Macaca mulatta: one gene and its partner. The protein of the gene in region 2 purifies or fractionates together with the protein of the main gene of each other region. This does not show direct contact. Links are inferred from orthologs where the notes say so. Each region holds a gene or a part of one and is shown on either strand. Other genes may lie near its edges.

What was found.
Region 1: the proteins of VCAM1 (region 2) and MSN purify together in Homo sapiens (affinity purification with western blotting; 3 studies listed by BioGRID, with this or other methods). This does not show direct contact. The link is inferred for Macaca mulatta from reciprocal best matches to the Homo sapiens genes VCAM1 and MSN.

What each region holds. Positions count from the first base shown.
Region 1 is NC_133426.1:71,831,638-71,835,205, reverse strand, and holds part of MSN (moesin), read right to left. Parts: intron 3,269-3,568; coding exon 2,994-3,268; intron 1,600-2,993; coding exon 1,516-1,599; intron 813-1,515; coding exon 666-812; intron 1-665. UniProt on the Homo sapiens protein: Ezrin-radixin-moesin (ERM) family protein that connects the actin cytoskeleton to the plasma membrane and thereby regulates the structure and function of specific domains of the cell cortex.
Region 2 is NC_133406.1:139,537,774-139,541,341, reverse strand, and holds part of VCAM1 (vascular cell adhesion protein 1), read left to right. Parts: intron 1-1,547; coding exon 1,548-1,868; intron 1,869-2,762; coding exon 2,763-3,029; intron 3,030-3,568. UniProt on the Homo sapiens protein: Cell adhesion glycoprotein predominantly expressed on the surface of endothelial cells that plays an important role in immune surveillance and inflammation.

The DNA of each region.
Region 1 (3,568 bases), on a different chromosome or scaffold from region 2:
AGTTATATGGAACAATAATCTATTGATCTCCATTCTCACCAAGAGCACACCAAGTGAAAAATATAAGCAAGTGAGATAAGGCTACAGTGAGAGGATTATAGGCCAAAAGCCATTTAATTATCACAGGAGACTAATCAAAATATATCCCGATAAGACAGTCTAGGCCTGCACAAATCAATAAAAACATAATGACTGTCACATATATAATTTTAAGTTTTCTAGTAGCTACATGAAAATAAGTAAAAAGAAATGGATGTAATAAAATTTTAATAAGTTTAATTAGCCCAATATATCTAAAATATTATCATTTGAACATGTAAATAAATATTTTTAAAAATATTAAGACATTTTTGCATTCTGTTTTTCACACTAATCTTCAAAGTCCAGTGTGTAGTTTACACTTACAGCACATCTCAATTCAAAGTAGCCACATTTCAAGTGTTCAATAGCCCCATGTGGCTGGTGGCTACCACAGTTGACAGTGTGAGTCTAGTCAATACAGAATTTAGAGGCCTAAGGAAAGTTGTGAAATCATCTGGGCTGGACTAAATTAGGCAGAAAAAGAACTGAGGTGGGACCCAAGAGCTATGGCCTTGCTCCTTGGTGAAAAGTGAGCCCTAGATGTTAACATAACCTAAATAAACTAAAAGAGATCTGAGATATACCTGTCATTCTGCTCATAGATGTTGAGACCCAGTGCATCCACCCCCAGCCACAGCTCTGAGCCTTTCTTGTTCTTGATGCTGAAGTAGTTCACACCATACATCTCCAGATCTTGAGCAATCTTCAGATATTCCAGGACAGCATCCTCCCTAAATGACACAGTTGGGGGTCACAAAGTGGGGCTTGTGAGTCAGACCCAAGGAGAGAGAAAGCCTGCTTACTCTGTACTTCTGACAAGTATCTTGCTATCAGGAGTGGGAAAGGGCACAAAAGGCAACCAGATGATGGAGAACAGAGCATAGCATGACTTTTGCAAAGCAAAATCTCCTAACAAAAACCTAGGGTCTATGCTCCCAAAGGGAATAAAGATGGGTTGACCCTTGCTGGCCTCTGGCATGTTGGCTGCCACAGAAGCAATTTTCTTTCTCTCATTCATTGTGACAGCCTCTTACACATTCTTAGCAGGGCTCAGAATGTGGTTATGGCAAAATGATGATATTTGTCCTTCAACTAGACAACCCTCAAAAATGCTTTGCCATGTTTAAGAGCTCCTTCCTTATTTCCTTCTGGCAGGGGGCGGGGAGTCCTTGGTGGCCCAGTAGCTCCCTGGACATCCTGAGGTCCCCTCCATTTCTTGATAGTCAAAACTGTTTGTGCTATCAGTTACCACCATTCAGCAAAACAAACAAACAAAAAACAACCTTATAATGGTCCTAGTTTGCCTTCTATCATCCCTGTTCCCTCTTCTCCAACATCTACCAATGTCCCTTGTCATCTGTCTCTTCTCCCCAGAACGCATTCTCATTCACCCTATAAGGGAAGTGGGGCCCACCACTGCTTGGGCAAGCTTACCTGAGCATGCCACGGTGTTCCTCATGCCACACCTGGATCCGCTCCTCCCACTGGTCCTTGTTGAGTTTGTGCTGTTCCAGGACTCTGGAAAGACAATGGGTGATGAGTAGTTTAAAGCGCAAAAGTCCCTGTGCAGGAGAGAAGGGAAGCCCATTTAGCTTTCTAAGGGGCTGATGCAAAGAGGATGTAGAGTCAGCCAACTGAGGTCACGCTGGAAGCAGACTGAAATTATAGCTAAAAAGGTATTAAATTAGACACAAGGAATTGCCTGAAAGGTAAGAGAGCTACAAGAATGGATGATCAAAAACAACAAGGGGAACACCTTCCTTTGTACCTTTATCCACAAATCAAATGATGTGCTGTGGTCCCTAAGCATAGCAATAAAGCATCAGGAGTTTGTGCTGACTTGAGGGGCTAAAAGTAGGGATGGACCTCATAGAGCCAGGTATACTCTCTCCTAGATCCTCTTGGGACCAACAGTCTATGTTTATAAGAATACTGCTCAGAAATGAAAGAATGGCCTTTGGCTACAGAGCAATGAACTGAGTCCTAATGGCTTTGAGAAAAACCAACAGGCCCAACCTCCAAGACCTACTAGATTATAAACAAGGTTAGCTTTAAACATGCCATCTCAGATATCATGGCAATGACTCAGGGAGAGTCCCCAGGGTACAAGCACTATCCCTAATATCTTATGAGTGTGTTGTACATATATGCCATAACTCCAGTGGGACTGAGGCTCCCAGAATGAAGCAAAGCTTTTCCTTCTAATCCAAAAGACTATGGAAACAGCCATTGTGTATAGTTGGAAAAAATTTAGTGTTAAAATATTAAGGTGCTAAGCTTCCAGGTCTGGCTCTGGCTCTGCCTCAGATGAGCTGCAGCAGATGGGGAAAGTCAGTGTGAGTACCTCTGCACCTCTATTTCCTCGGCCAGGAAATAAGGATAATGCCTGCTTTGTTCATTTTGTGTGTTATTGTGATGCAAAAACAAAAATAATGAGGGTTTTAGAGCTTTTGACTTTGAAGTTTACAAAAGGAGAAAGCTCTGTACACTAGCTGTCAATATTAAAAGACTATTTGAGTTCTCCATGTCCCTGGTTTGCTTATTTCTCTCTCTCCCCTGTGAACTTCTGATATAAGAGATCTAAATCAGTAAAAAGAACTGAGAAAATGGAACCAGGGAGAGGTGAAAGAAATTACTCAATCTCTGGTTCTACATAAGCACCTGCCTCCCAGGTAATAAAGTTCTGTAATCAGGCAGACAGAGGGGAAAAAAGGCTTTTTATTTGGAAAGCCAGAAAAATAACAACAGAGTATGACACTATATGCAAATGTCTCTTGAGCAGCATAACACAGTCTTCAGACAGATCCCAATGGAGAGGAACAGATCTGGCATCCCCTGTGGGGCAGGGATTGGTCAGCTGTGGGCTGCAGCCCCTTATGGCCAAGGCAAAGGAGGGCAGGGAATCACCTCACCTCTGTGGGAGCAACTTGTCTCCGGCCAGGTAGCCAGACTTATGCACCTCCTTATTGAAGTCGCCATACTTAGACTGGACAGCATACGAGGCCAGCAGCACAGCAGTCTCAGGCGGGCAGTAAATATCATCATTGAGAATACCCTCTTTCACTTGCAGAAAGAACAGGCGCTGAGTGATGTCCTGAATCAATTCCTCGGACACATCCTCAGGATAGAACTTGGCACGGAACTTAAAGAGCAGGGGGCTTTCCTTCCGCACGTCCTGGGCAGTCACCTGGGAGCAGTAAGGGTTATGGACTCTCAAAAAATAGGTTTTAAGGGTGACAGAGTGGCTGTGGGGTAGGGGAAACACACTGAAAGATCATCAATTTGCATAATCTTAGAGAGCTGGGTGGCAACCCCCTGGTAATTAAGAAAAACAATACATTACTTTCACTGGGGACTGAATCCCATGTCTGTAATCACTTTCTGTTGGGAATTTCTTCCTGAAATTACCTTAATACCGACTGATGATCAGAAGTCTTCAAACCACTTTTGTCTGACTATATCCAACTATCCCCAAATTCTGAGAGTA
Region 2 (3,568 bases):
CATTGGGGTCAGTGCCCATTCAGATGACTGGGTGGAGGTGACTACTCCAACTACTCCAGTTGGGAATGAGTAGTTTTAAACTATTTTAAGGCACTGCTTTAAAGCACATTTGAAGAGCTGTCTGCAGGATGGGAAAAAAAATAAGGGAATAGGAAGCAAAAGGAAGCCAAAATTAAAGATAAGGAATTAGGCTGGAGATGGCGATGGTCAGTGGCAGTGGCTAAGGTGAAAAGCAGAATCAGGAAGTAGCGTTAGATCTTAATGTTGATTTATGCCACCTACATATACTATGCTTTCTCTTACTCTTCTTGTCGTCTTAATAAACACTCTTTGCAACCTCAAATCTCCATGAACTTGACATTGCTGGAGTTCCTCAGTCCATATTGAATGAAGAACAAAATATGCAAAGTAACCATAAAGTTATTTTTTTGAGAGGGTCACTCTGCCTTGAGTTCTCACTTCAGTAGAACTCAAGAGAACATATTATAGAGATTTTCTACCAGAAAGCCTGCCCAAACTTGTGTTACCCTTCAATATTTTGTTCAGAATGGGTCACAGTGTGCCTGTAAATGGATTTGAGTCTCTCAAAAGGAGGATACATTTTATTTGCATTATTATATTACCCAGAGTCCATGATCTGCTGAGATAGGCACATTCCCAGCAGAAATGAGAACCAGCAGTGGAGTCTTATTGCAACATAGAAATATTTGAGCATGTATCACTTTAACAACATTTTTGTTAAGGAAAAATATGTTTAAGCATTATTCTTGCCCTTGATAGCTATTTTAGTCTTATTTTTATTGATATGTGCTGTATTAGAAAGACTAGAGTTAAGCAGTTCTTTTCTTGATTACAAGTATTATCTGAGAAATATTTAAAACTTGCTGCCTAAATTTGGTCATTAAAATTTAAACTAAGTTGAGAACTTCCTTGTTTGTCTTATTTGATACTGAGAGACTGCACAGCTGTGTAAAACCAAAGCTGGGCTCTGAGGTCAGAGAAATACGGATTCTCAGCCCATCTCATTGACTTCAACTAGGTATAATGCATGAGGAAAGTCTCTTAGCCTCTATATGTTTCAGTATTCCTGGCTGTAAAATAACTAATACCCATTTTACATAGCTGCTTTGAAGACTGAGATAATGAATATTAGAGGACTAGTTGATACTAAGTATTCAACATAACATGGCAAATTTAAAACATGTAAAATATATACTTACTAAATAAGATAGTGGAAGCTGATGTGTACTTAGAAAAGATCAAGCCATGGCACACAGCAAGATTGCATATTAAGAAGAAAAAAAAATAAGAAGTGAACATTTATTACTCAAGGACTGGATATACTAAGTAGTTTTTGTTTCTAACATTATTCATATATAATATCATGAATATGTCATTTATAAATACTGTCGTTACTTATATATTGACAGTCATTCTATCCCAGGTCAATTAAAGCTGTCATTTTTAGGCCTTTACATTTAATAAAGCTTAGCTCAATTTTTCCTTGAATATCGCGTATAAAAATCATTTTTGCTTGCGTTTTGCAGCATTCCCTAGAGATCCAGAAATCGAGATGAGAGGTGTCCTTGTGAGTGAGAGCCCCATCACTGTAAGCTGCAAGGTTTCTAGCGTGTACCCCCTTGACCGGTTGGAGATTGAATTACTTAAGGGGGAGACTGTTCTGGAGAATAAAGAGTTTTTGGAGGATACAGATATGAAATCTCTAGAGAACAAAAGTTTGGAAGCGACCTTCATCCCTACCACTGAAGATACTGGAAAAGCTCTTGTTTGTCAGGCTAAGTTACATATGGATGAAATGGAATTTGAACCCAAACAAAGGCAGAGTACACAGACACTTTATGTCAATGGTAAGTACATATGTGAGGTATCTACAGCTTAATACCTGTCTCTTTATCGTGTTTGCCAGGCAATAGTTAACATAAGGTTAATAGTTAAAACCTCTGTAGAGAAAAAACATAACTGAAAAGAAATTTCAAAATAATAATGATTGTAACAAATCACCCTCCATAAAGTTAAAAGAGTAACTATTTACTGACTTATGATGCTTTGAGTTGGCAATTTAGGAAGGGGCCAGCTAGGCAGTTATTCTGCTCGATATGGTATTAGCTGAGCTCGCTCATGCATTTTCTGTAAGGTTAGCAGGACTGGCTGGTCTCAGATGACTTCACCCACATGTCTGGAGCCATATCTGGGATGACCTGGCCTCTCTTTCTTTATGCGTTGTCACCCTGAGAAACAGTAGCCTAGATTTACTCACCAGAGCTCAGTTTTCAAGAAGGTGTAAATGAAAGCAGCCTCTTCAAGGCCTGGGTTTGGAAGTCCTACAGTGTTACTTCTTCCACATTCTATTGGTCAAAGTGAGTCATGAGGCCAGCCTAGAGTTTCAAGGGGTGGAAAAATAGACCACATCTTTTTACAGAAGGAGATTCAAATAATTCATAGTCTTGTTGACTCTACCATAAATGGCAGTACACACTATCATTGACCCTCGTCATTCTTTGGTTGCAAGGGAGGTTATACTGAACTTACTTCCATTAGAAAACACCATGACGTGTCCACGTTCTGCTCTATCATTTGGTATCAACTAAAGTAAATAAGGACCAAAACCTCTTGGTTAAATTATCAAGGTTTATAAACTGTTTGCATCTGCTGAACCCATAGCCCAGTTTTGCAACATTATTAAAACTCTTTGGAACTCAGGGCATAAGGGGTCCAGCTAACAAGCCTCTCTGCCTTTTCAGTTGCCCCCAGAGATACAACCATCTTGGTCAGCCCTTCCTCCATCCTGGAGGAAGGCAGTTCTGTGAATATGACATGCTTGAGCCACGGCCTTCCTGCTCCGAAAATCCTATGGAGCAGGCAGCTACCTAATGGGGAGCTACAGTCTCTTTCTGAGGATGCAACTCTCAACTTAATTTCTACAAAAATGGAAGATTCTGGAGTTTATGTATGTGAAGGAATTAACCAGGCTGGAAGAAGCAGAAAAGAAGTAGAATTAATTATCCAAGGTGAGCAGAGTGTGAGTAGTGAGTTATCCTTGCTAGTAATTTTTTTGGTTATGTTACTGATTATGAGTAAAGTCTTCTTTGAAAACAAAATTTTTACTACAAAAGTGTGTTGAGGGTTTTGAAGAGCTTATGATGTTTCCAATGTATGGAGAAATTTCCTGAAATTGTCCTTTCTCATGAATCGTTACAAGTTTCTTATCCTGAGATTCTTTCAAACTTAAGTGAAATGCAAGCCTTCAGGACCTGTGTCAGAAGTTCCAGTTACACTTATGAGGCAATGGTTATGGTGTTGAGATAAGAATAGGAAGAGGAATCTCTTCATTTGGAATTATGTAGGATTAAAGCCACCATATCTGGCTGAATTGAACTCTGAGTGGCAATCTCACAAGATGGCCAGTAGTATTTGCTTAGAAGCCTAAGCTGGCACTTAAGTCTTTTGCAAATTCTGAGATTATTAGTAGCCATGACTCTGTCCTCTCGTTCATCAGCCTGACAACATGGAACCACTAAAGTAGATTAAGTCAACAGATCTAGGCCCC